3 linked regions of the Notamacropus eugenii genome follow. The protein of the gene in region 1 interacts with the protein of each later gene in a pairwise test. Links are inferred from orthologs where the notes say so. Each region holds a gene or a part of one and is shown in the gene's direction. Other genes may lie near its edges.

What was found.
Region 2: the proteins of MID2 (region 1) and SPG21 interact in binary tests that used the Homo sapiens proteins (3 or more experiments, as listed by UniProt). The two-hybrid records come from large-scale screens. The link is inferred for Notamacropus eugenii from reciprocal best matches to the Homo sapiens genes MID2 and SPG21.
Region 3: the proteins of MID2 (region 1) and SYT17 interact in binary tests that used the Homo sapiens proteins (3 or more experiments, as listed by UniProt). The two-hybrid records come from large-scale screens. The link is inferred for Notamacropus eugenii from reciprocal best matches to the Homo sapiens genes MID2 and SYT17.

What each region holds. Positions count from the first base shown.
Region 1 is NC_092879.1:28,913,220-28,916,964, forward strand, and holds the start of MID2 (probable E3 ubiquitin-protein ligase MID2), read left to right. Parts: upstream 1-1,437; 5' UTR 1,438-1,544; intron 1,545-3,745. UniProt on the Homo sapiens protein: E3 ubiquitin ligase that plays a role in microtubule stabilization. Mediates the 'Lys-48'-linked polyubiquitination of LRRK2 to drive its localization to microtubules and its proteasomal degradation in neurons.
Region 2 is NC_092872.1:127,366,890-127,370,634, reverse strand, and holds the start of SPG21 (maspardin), read left to right. Parts: upstream 1-1,336; 5' UTR 1,337-1,472; intron 1,473-3,745. UniProt on the Homo sapiens protein: May play a role as a negative regulatory factor in CD4-dependent T-cell activation.
Region 3 is NC_092874.1:400,151,300-400,155,044, forward strand, and holds the start of SYT17 (synaptotagmin-17), read left to right. Parts: upstream 1-1,551; 5' UTR 1,552-2,489; coding exon 2,490-2,504; intron 2,505-3,745. UniProt on the Homo sapiens protein: Plays a role in dendrite formation by melanocytes.

The sequences.
Region 1 (3,745 bases):
CAGGAAAGGTAAGAGGCAGAGATTGGGGGTAGACTGTTGAAGAAATGGGGGATGGCCAGTCAAAAGACCATCTTCCATGGAGTTGGGAGGTGGCATTTCATGTGCATGGAATAGTCAGGAGGCTGGTGTAGCTGGATCAATGCATGGAGGTGAAAAAGATTGGAAAGGTGGGAGGAGGCCACAGTTGGAAGGGCTTTAAATTGTAGATAGAAGACTTTGTCTATGCAACTATGACCCAGGGAACCTTGAATATCCCTACAACAATTCTTGGGAAGCTGTGAAGTCAGACCTGTACTATCCTTGGGATGCTGAAGAGGGAGGAAATCGAGTCCAGACTGGGAGGATTTTTTTTTCCCCTTTGCCTTGGAGAATCAGAGTTTGTAGGTGAGTGGATTGGCACATTTTATGATATGTGCTCATTGTTTCTTGGATGTTGACCACACTTTTTACCAATGTAATTAAACTGTTTAACCATGGCCTTGAGGTCTGAGTGACTGAAAGATGCTGTCTTTGGAAAGCACAGGTGTGGCATTGAGTAAGAATCAGGATTGAGGTGAGAAGTCCACTCCTAACAGTAAAGGATAGAGTGTTGGGTGATGGACAAAGGACTCATCCCAAGTACTGTGGTAGATGGGGAACGGCTGGTCACCGATTTAGGCTTAGATAGATTTAGATCTGGAAGGGACCTCAGAGGCAATCTATTTCAACTGCCTCCACATTCTTCTCCATTTTACAGGAAACTGAGACCCAAGGAGGTAGAGTGACTTGCATAAGTAGTGCCGGGTGGTATTTGAACTTGGGGGTGGCGGGGAGAGGTCCTCTGAGCCAGGGATCTTGGCTGTTATCAGCCTGTATTGGACACCTGTTACACCAGAATATCTAGCTGCACCTGCCCAGTTGTACCCATGGTAACAGCTCGGTTGGTTTCATGGTGGAAGACAGCGATTGCCCTTGTGTGACTCCGCTCCTTGTCCACCAGCTCGGCCCCGGGCCAACAGTCCACTCAGTACCATTCTCCCTTTGTGAAAAGATAACGACGGGGCTGGGTTGGGTTTCCTGCCATTCTTTGCCCCTGTCTGCGCAGTCCTTGATTTCTGTTTTGCTCCGGGGTGGTTTGCGTAGAGCGCCTTCGTCTGTGGACGTGGGTGGCCCTGGAGAGCTGGCCTTTCCTTGGGCAGACAACAAGTGTCGCCGGCTGTTGTGGTTGGTCTGTTTGCGTTGGGAACAGGCGGGGCGGCTGGGGATCAGGAGGAGGGAACGACAGAGTGGGGGGGGCGGGGGTGGATGGGGGGGACGGTGGAACAGGAAGGAGTTTGCACACATTTCTGCCTCCGTCCGCATTTCGCACGCTGCCGAGGCTGTCCAGGACTGTGTCTTTCCAAAGCCTGCAGAGGCGCGCGCGCGCACGCACGCTCTCCTCCGCCCTCCCCCGGGCCGGGGCGCGCGCACAGACACCCGCACGCTCCCTCTCCCTCCACCCGGCTCAGTGGGTCTCTTCTTTCAAGATGACAGGACGGAGGAGGCCAGGCTGCTGGAATCAGCTGGTACGTAGGGGAGCGCCCTGGCCGGCCGGGCCTGAGCCCGCGGCTGCCCGCCGCTCTCAGTCGCTGGGTCCCTGCCCAGCTGCCGGGCTGCTCTCGGCGCTTTGCGGCGGCTCTGCGCTGCCCGGCTGCTCTCCGCGCCCTGGCTCGCCCTGGGCTGGCGGAGCGCTCCCGCTCCTGCTCTGGCTCCTGGCAGGGAAGGAAGCGAGCTAGGGGCGCCCGGGGAATGGGCAAAGGGGGGAAGGCAAGGAGAGGCGCTGGAGCGCCTGCAGGTGAGCCCCGTGGGTGGGCGGCCGGCCGGCCGGCTGGGAAGGCGCTCTGGCCCGCCTGGAGACAGGGGCACCCTTGCCCAACTTCGCCCCGATGGGCGGCGGCGGCGGCGGCGGGAGCTTTGGCCGTGGCGGCAGCCGGGCGAGTCAGAGGGAAGGGTAGGGAAGGAGGCCAGCGTGCGCCCGGCGTGCCCGCTTGTGCCCGGCTCCTGCTTCCATTCCTTAGGGTGGCCAACGCGGCCGGCAGAGGGCACGCCCCCTCGGGGCTTGCTTGGGCGCGTTCGCCTTGACGTTCCCCCCTCACTCTTCCGCCTAGTCCTACCCCGCACCTTGTCCTGCCGGCCGCTCTGCCTGTCCTGCCGTCCCGGCCCTGCCCTGCCCTGCCCATCCCAGCATCAGGCGATGGCGCACTGGCTGGGGGAGGAAGGGGGGGTTAGGGGGGCGGCCCGGGGAAGGGGGGCGCTCTGTGGCTGGCCAGGAAGGGGACCTTGAAGATGGCAGGGTGGAAGGGGGGGCGGGAGTGGCTGGGCCTGGCCCTTTGGGCCTGGCCACTTGAGCCCTTCCTTCTCTATTTCCCGCGGATGGCCCTCTGTGAGACTGAAGTTTTTGCTCTTCCACTCACCCAGAGTTTTCCCCTCTCCACCTAGCCCATTTATCCTTTCCCTCCCATTCTACCTTCTCTTTTCAGTGTCTTTCCTTGGTTCATGTGTGGATGGGTGTATTTGTGAGGAGGAAGGTGTGTGTGTTGGGGGGGTGGGGGGAAGATCTATATGAAAGCAGTGGGATTATGTATGTATGTATGTATGTATGCATGCATGCATGCATGCATGCATTCTATTGGCTCTTATTCCAATGGTGACCCAGCTGAGCTGAGAAGACTACCTATTCCACCTTTTCCTCTACCCAGTGTTCCCCTATGGAGGAGGGGTGACTGGCCCAGGGAGGGTTCTTTTATGGCTTTGTCCCTCTGCCGGGGGCTGAGTGTGGGTAGGGGTGAGGGGGGGGTAGGAGCAGTGTCTTTCCTGCAGCTGGTGATTTCAGCCTTCAAGCTTCCTTTCCCTCTCCCACCCTAAGCCTCTGCTGCCCGATTCCTTAGCAAATTTTCAAAGGGGATCAGCAGTTATTGGCTCCTCCATGACTCACAGGCTGACCAATTAGTTTATTAGAAAAATATGATGTAAAGTGCCCCCGATTTGTTACCTGGAGTCTGTTTTCCAGGTTGTCATTCAGGTCTGAAAGGTGAGAAAATAAGAGATTTCATCCCAGTTGGGATGCCATTTTTGCTTTGTGACCTCGGGGCAGTTGTTGAGACCTTTCTTTTCTAGGATACCCATTTATATAGTGGGATAATCATTTTTGCCCCAATATTGTGAAATTTAACTTTATTCTTGAAGAAACAGTCTGCTTCAAAGGACAGAAAATTGGGTTTCCACTCAGGATCCTTAATCTCAAACTGAAAGGGGCCTCAGGGCTCATCTCCAATATCCCTTTCATTTTACAACTGAGACCCAAATCGATGAAGTGACTTGCTCAAGGTCTTAAATAGCATCACAGGTATGATTTGAATATAAGTATTCTGACTCCAGAATTAGTGTATCGATTCCTTCACAAGATGGAGGACCTGGGATTAAATTCTTACTCTAATGCTTTATTACCTGTGTGACCTTGGTCCAGTCCCTTCCCCTGCCTAGGTTTCAGTTTCTCCCTCTGTAAAATGAGGCATTTGAACTCAACAGCCTCTGAGGTCGTTCCATGTTTGGACTCTTCCACTCACCCAGAGTTTTCCCCTCTCCACCTAGCCCATTGATCCTTTCCCTCCCATTCTACTCTTCTTTTGAGTGTCTTTCCTTGGTTTGTGTGTGGATGGGTGTATTTGTGAGGTGGAAGGTGTGTGTGTTGGGGGAGGGAGGAAGAGATCGGTATGAAAGCTGTGTG
Region 2 (3,745 bases), on another chromosome or scaffold:
AGATGTTACCAATGTAGAAATGCCCAGACCTGGCAACTGATTGAATAGGAGAGACAAGTGAGGAGTAAAGGATAACCTCAGGGTTGTAAGCTTGGGTGACTGGGAGAATGATGGTACTCTTGGCAGTAAGTAATAAGGGTTAGGAAGAATGAAGGAGAGTTTGGGGGAAGATTTTGGACTTGCTGAATTTGAGATCTCTAGTCAGAGATGCCTAATAGGGAGTTGGAGATGAGAGACTAGAGGTCAGGAGAGAGGTTAGGGCTGGACAAACAGATACCAGAAACATCTGCATGGAAATTCACGGGAGTTGAGATCATCAAGCCCAATCATCCAGAAGAGGAGGACCTAGGGCAGTCTTCAGGGACACTCATGGTCAGCAGACCTGCCCTAAATGAGAGGGAGATGGAGCACTCAGACGGCGAGAGCACCGAGACACAGAGAGACTGTCAAGGAGACAATGAGGACGGAGAGCGGCCCGCTGGTTTCAGGTGAGCGCTGACGTCTGAAGCCGCACCTGCCGAGAGTTCAGCACGTGTTCGGCACGTGTTCGGTTCCCAGTTCTTCACTTTCACACAAAGTACGGTGGCACATTGCGGGGCGCACAGTGCCTTTGTGTCCTCTGGTTGGCCCGTCACTTCAGACTGGAGATCTGAATGCGGAGTCAGGAACTCGGCCACGTTTTTAGCTGGCGGAGCGCAGCGGGAAGGGCCAGACCCGGGGCCAGGGCGGGGGGCGCGGGGCTCCAGCCACCTGCCGCTGGATCTTGGATGGGGGGGTGGACCAGACCTAGGCGGGGCGTTCCAGCATCACACCTCGGAACCTTGCTCCCACAGGGCATCTCTTCAACACTCCCTGTCAAGCGTGGGGGGATGGGTGGTTTGGGGGGGACGGCAGGAGCGCGGGGCGCTCACTTCGGGGACAGGCCGAGGCCTCCTGGGGCTTAGACCTAGGGCTAGACTGAGCGACTTGGCGGCCAGCTGCGGGCAGTCCGCACGGGCCATCCCGGGCCGCTGCCCCAGCCTCACCCCAGAGTCCGGTCAGACGGCCGGTCACTCTGATGCTCCCACGCGGCCGGGGAGGCCAAGCTCGCCAGTCTCTCCCTCGCGCCAGCGGCAGGGCTCCAACGGCCCGGGATCCAGGAGCATCCCGCCGCAGTCTCCGTAGTTATGGAGACGACGGCCACCCCACGCGGACTTCCGCCTCACGTGACGCCCCGCCCAGCGCGGCCCCGCCCTCGGCCCCGCCCCCGGAAGCGGCGCGGCCCGGCGGCCCGGGACTGTTGGGCGCCGAGCGGAGCGCGGTCCGGCCCGCACGGCTGCGCGCTCCACCCCCGGAGGCGGCCCCTCCCCCCCGCCCTGCCTGTCGGCTCGGCCTTGGGTACGGACGCCGAGGCAGATCCGCGGCCTGGGTCCGCGGCGGCTCGCCACGAGAAGCCGGGGCTGGGGAGGGAAGCGGGGGCCGGCCTGCGGCAGGTGAGGGAACCCGGGCTGCGGGAGGTGTGGCCGGGGGCGCCGGCGTGGGAATGGCCCTGGGACGGTGGGGGGGGCGCGCCCCCCGCTGCGGGTCTGGGACTGGGGACCCCGGGGGAGGCGCGCGGGGCCGCATCCTTAGTGCGAGAGAACCCGGGTTCGAGTCCCGCTTCCGACACCCCGGGCAAGTCCCTTAATCCCTGAGGCCCTCGCGACTCCCCGAGACCGTAAGTTGCAGGGCAGGTCCCGACCCTGCGGTGCCGTGTGCTGGTCCTGTGCGTGCAGACACGGCCTCCGGGGAGGCTTTCCCAGCTTGCGGTTCGTGCCTCGGGGCACGCAGGCAGGAAATGCTGGTAGAGACGCCGGTGGTGGTTGAACCGACTCCACGACCTGCTCCGGGCGGGGGCATCGGCCCGGGTGGGACGGGCGCCGCAGGAATCGCCGGTTGGAGCGGCTCGCGTGCGGGGATGTTCCCGACCCGCAGAACGCGCCCTCCGCGGCCGCCTTGCCTCTGCTGGATACTTTGTTACTCCTGGAGACTCGCAGAGCAGTAACTTAGTAGCCGTGTGCGACGCCTCGGGGGTTGTCACGCCATCCGCTCTGCCTCCCCCGGGCCAGACAGCAAGAGGAAACGGCCTGAAGTCGCTGCAGAAAGGCTGGAGGCAGATGTGAAAATGGATTTACTGAAAACTGGGGGGAAGGTTTCCCTGGCTGTGACTCTGGCCCATTGACGTTGGTCTAGTTAGGTTGGCAGGTCTGCCAGGAGCCCCCCGAAAAACGAGACTCTCCTATTAACATTATTTTTGCTGTCACTGTCAGTTTACACATACAGGCTTTATTCACGAGGTGTAGTCATGGCCTATAGACTAGGATAAGGGACTTGAACTGCAAGTGAGGACAGTGACATTTCACTTCACGTAAGCTGAAAACCATTATTTGGATTCCAAGGAGGCAGGTGCTCATCATCTTGAAATCTCTTACAAATGCCAAGCATCGTTAAGGGATAGGTATCGGAGGAATCTGGGATTAAACGGAAGCTTTGATGTTTACACATGCATGGGTTGGGACTAAAAATGTAGTGCATTACTTACGGAAATGGAAAAGAGCTTTTTTCTCCCTTTAAGTGGTGGAAAATTTAACCATGTTTTGATTTGTGCCCTTTGCTGATTAAACCTAACCAGCGTGGTCAGACTGTTAAGCTTTCATTGCTCATAGTTTATCCCCCATGTGAATTGGAAAAGTTAAACCCTCTCTAAAGGGATGAAAAGGATCTTTGAGAACAAACTTTCCTTTTTCACCCTGTTAGTTCCCAGCTGTTTTCTTCTCCCAGCTGTGAGGCTTTTTCACTAAGCAGTCAGTTGCTCAATCAACACTTGGTATCTCTTACCTTTCGTATACTGCCAGAACAGCACAAGTGTTAAACATAACTTGCCTTGAGCGGTAATTTAGTCCCTGTCCAGGGAATCATTAAGTCTAGAAGTCTATAGTTAAAATGAAATAATTTTTTTCTACATTACCAAGAAATATTGGTAAGAAACATCTTTTGTTTATAATATGTATATTTGATTATGATATGCTTTGGGAAAGAAGTTAAGGATGGGTATGATGTCAGTGTGTGTGTAAATACATATTTTTCTGCCTTTTGTGTCTTTGCAGTTCCAAACTTAAGAGCTCATTTTGTTCTCAGTTTGGTGATTTGGAAAGCTCATTTATTGGCCTTATTATCTATTATCTTATTATCTAAAATTATCTAAAATCAGTTTTATAAATCTAATAAGTAGTTTTCCATTCCTAAGCAAGATTAGAATGTTGCCTTCTCAGAAAAGACAGTTTATTTCTTGTAATGTAATTTTGTAATGGAACTTTAAATTCATTGTAAACTAAGTAGATTTTTTTTTTAAATGACAGTAGCTTGAGTCCATTCAGGTAAAAATTAGTGTGCCAGATGCCTTAATTTTGATAAAATGACTAGCCCAAAGGATTAAGATTGTAGTTGGGGAATGGGGATGGATTTTTTTCACCTTTAAATATACATTCTTAAGAATTAGAAATGAATCCAAGCAGAATGAAATTTCTTTTGCTTATTACAAATTTTTAATGGCTACCTTTATGCATTCGATAACCTCTTTGGGTTTTTTGTTTTTGCAAACTCTCTCATGTCCTGTCCTAATTTACCCTTTGAGATCAAATTGAGATGATAGGCAAGTGTCTCGATTGAGAATGAAATGTTAATGTAAGAATATCCAGCTTTAATTACCTTTTTGAGTCACATACAT
Region 3 (3,745 bases), on another chromosome or scaffold:
ACATGTGGGAGGTGGTCCCTATTCTTAAGAAGCCTACATTCTAAAAGAGGAAGACAAAACATAAAGAAGAGCTGAAAAGGGAAAATGAGAGGAAAGTATCCAAATGGAGGGGAATGAGGAAGAGGTAGGCAGCCAGTATGGAGGTGGAGCAGGACAGAGAACTAACTGGAAGTGAAGAGTGTGCATAATGGTTGGCTTTTGTGATTATATGTTGGGTTCAGGCTGAGACCCAGCAATCACGGAGTTGACCAGGGAACTGAATCATCCCAAGGGAGACACACAGGCACTATGAAGGTGGAGCAGGCTGGAGTGGAGAAAGTTTCCTCTTATCTTCTAGAGTCTGTGAATATGGCATGCTCTGCCTAGAGAGATGCTCTCACAGGAGATCAAAAGAGGAGAATGCTACATGGCCTGATGGGGATGTTCCAGGGGAGAGACAGGAGACTGGGCAATCCCAAAGATAAACAATTTATTTCACAATTCTGTTTAGAATTAACCTCACTTCTATCTGTTATCAAGAACTCCAGGGTGCAGTCATATTCCTATCTCCTCACCCCAAGTACATAGAGAATAAGCCCCAAGCAAAACTGTGAATTGGGCATTTGTCTCACCTTTCTAACATTCTCATGAGCAAGCGCCAGGGATTCTTCGACTCCCTGCCCCCTCCCCCCAGGCTCTTCTAGCCCGAGATGCTAAACCAATTTTCTTAATAATGGTAGCATTTCCCAAATCGTCTTTCATAGAATCCTAGTTGTTCCACAGGACGCTAATAATGTTTATGTGAGAAAACTTCAATACTAATGAAATTTCCCCCTCTAAACTGTGAAATAATGTATATATAAAAATAAGCATTATGTGCAGTAGTTTGGAGAATAAAAACAGACTCAATTTTCTCTATGCCCAATCACACCTCTAGAATAGCATTTGGGGTTTCATCAATATATTTCAAGCACCAAAGTGGTTTGTGAAGAAATTAGTTTGGGAAAACTAATTTAAGATATTAGTGGCTTTGCACTAGGCGCAGTTTAAAAGAGATATTGGGTGAGACCAATCTGGAATCCAAAATAAAGCAACAAACTAAATTGCTAAAGATGAAATTTCAGACATTGACCTCTGGCTGGGACACACACACCTACGTACACACATACATTTAATGGGGGTGGGTAGGAAGTGGCACAGTGGGCATCCTCGCACTTTTGCCCCCATTTTTGCTGTGGCCAGCTTCTATATTGCCTCACCTTGACCCACCTTTCAAAGATCTACCCTCCCTCTCCATCTTTTCCCACGCTGCCTAGGGCTCCTCCGAGGCACAATGGGCCCGGGGTTACTTTGTAACTTCTTATCACTCTCCCTGCGGCGGCTCAGGCTAAAGGCTGGCCGCTCCTTTCTGAAGCCGTGTAGCGTTGCGCCCGTTGGGTGGCGCTGTTGGACCTCTTTGCACCCAACCTGTTGCGCCCTGGGAACACCAACTCTTTTGGACTTGGGGAGCGCCAGTCACTTTGGGGCCCTGGCGGGGCCCACAGCCTTTCCTTTTCCCTTGCGACTTTTGGTCCCTCCCATCACTCCTGCTCTGAAGCTTTCCTCTCGGTGACCTCTCCGTGCCATCTGGCACTTTAGCGCCTCGCAGTCCTTCTGTCACCCCTCCTGGGTCCTCCAGACTCTAAGAGGTTTCAGATGAATGCAGAGGAGACGAAAGTTTTTATTCCTCAAGGTCGGGGAGAGGGGAACTGAGCGAATTCATCACTTTGGGGCCACAGCCCCTAAATGTCACTTAGACAATTCCTAGGCAGCACCGACGAGGCCGGGTTTCTGTTAGGCTCCGCGACAGGTGCAGGCTCCTAGGACACCCTGGGCATCACTAACCCTCCCCCGCTCGCCCCCGCCCGGAATATTCCCTTCTCCGTCCTCTTTCCCTATCCCCACCCCAAAGTTCTGCTCCTTCTGTCTTCAGATGGCACCCGTTGTGGAGCCTTGAGCTTGGGTGCCCGGTGACCCCGGGGCTGCCCTGGTCTTAGTTATCAGGGGGGCCCAAGCTCGGGGCCCTCTGCGTGGCTGGCTGGGAGCCCCCGGGAGGGAGCCGGTCAGAGGCCAGAAGGCGCCTGATGCTCCTGGCGCCGCTGGCGGCCGAGACCAGAACGCAGGGAGAGGAAGAAGGCAGAAGCGCCCGGGGGGGCGGGGGAGAGAGAGGAGGGAGTAGGGCGCTGCTGGGGCGCGGGTCAGGCGGCCCCCTCCTCTGGGCTCTCTCTCCGCCTCTAGGGCACCCACCCAGGTCCGAGAGCCCGGGGGCAGGACCATGAAGAGGAAGAGACGGGGCGGCCAGCCGAGCGGAGGGCATGGGCGCCACTGATCAGCCAAGCAAGTCACGTCTGGGGCCATTGGGTTGGTTTTTTTTCCTCCCCCCCTGCTTTTCCTTTCTTCACCTCCCTTGTGGCGGAGGGCAAAGTGGATGTAGCAGCGCCATGCCCGGGCTGGAGTGAGAGCGAGTGAAAATGGCGTATATACAGGTAGGGCCGTGGCAGGAGGGACGTGTCCGGGCCGGGCCGGGGCCGGGGCCGGGCGGGGATGGCATTGGCAGCTTGGGGCCGACTGGGTGAGGACCAGGACGGCTAGCCCTGAGTCTGCCAGCTGCGCCCCGCCGGCTCCTCGTGTTGCCCTGGGGCTGGCGCTCAGCCCCGCGCGCAAGAAACTTGCCAAAAGAACGGGGGAGGAGGGAGAGAGGGGAGATACTGGCAGTTTGGGGATAAAAGGTTTCAAAGAGGCAACCTGTTTGCGCGGGCTCTCGAGCTGCCCGGGAGCGTTTGGTGGAGACCAGCAGAGGCTACTGAGGCTGGGGCGAAGCCGACGTGGAAGGGCAGTGGGAGCGCCGCACTGGACGGAGAGGGGGGATGCGGGATAATGTCGGGGTGAGAAGGATAGCTCAGGGTGAGAGGCCCTGGTTACCGCAAGAAGACTGTGGGTTTGCCCAGTCTGGGTGAGACTGGCCTGGGGTGGGGCGTGGTGCGATATGGGCGGGGCAGGAAAGCTCCTGGCACCCACAGAGGACCCACTCGGGTATCTGCCTTGCCTTGTCTTTAGCCTCCAGCAGTGGGAGCAGCTGCGAGTTCCGAGCTCCAGCTGTGGAGCAGTGGGGAAGGGGTAACCTTTCCCCGAGGCCGCAATGGGAGCCCGGGGGTGGGGGCAAAGAGGGAGAAAGGGGTGGGGCTCTAAGGAGAACGGCCCGGGGCAAGCGGCCAGCTGCAGTTACCGTGGTTACGGCTCCGGCTAATTAGCCGCTGAAGCGGGGACGTGCAGCTGTTTGGCGAGAGGGACAAGGACATCTCCTTTCCCCCTAGGCTTGACTGCTAAAGAAGCAGGGCTGGAGGGACGAAAATGATTTGATGGTTGGACTTGAAAGGTAGGGTGGGGAGGAAGGACAGTGAATTGTGTGGTAGTAATGAAGGTGAGATCTATCAGAGAAGTGTTAAAAAAGATTTCATGAGGTAAGAGGGTTAGGAGACCTGGAAGACGGCCTTTGACTGAGATCAGTTCAAATCAGGCCTTTTAAAGGACCCATGATTGGTTCAGGGGCCTTTATCCCCCAGAGGGCTTCAGGTAAGCCCCAAGGTCATGAGGATGCCTAAAGCTTTCTGGCATTCTCACGAATGCAGAGAACTATAGAATGTAACAGTGGAGAACTACAGTGGAGGAAACTGAGACCCAAAGAGGGTGAACGACTTTCCCAAGGTCATAGAGTCAGTTTCTTAGA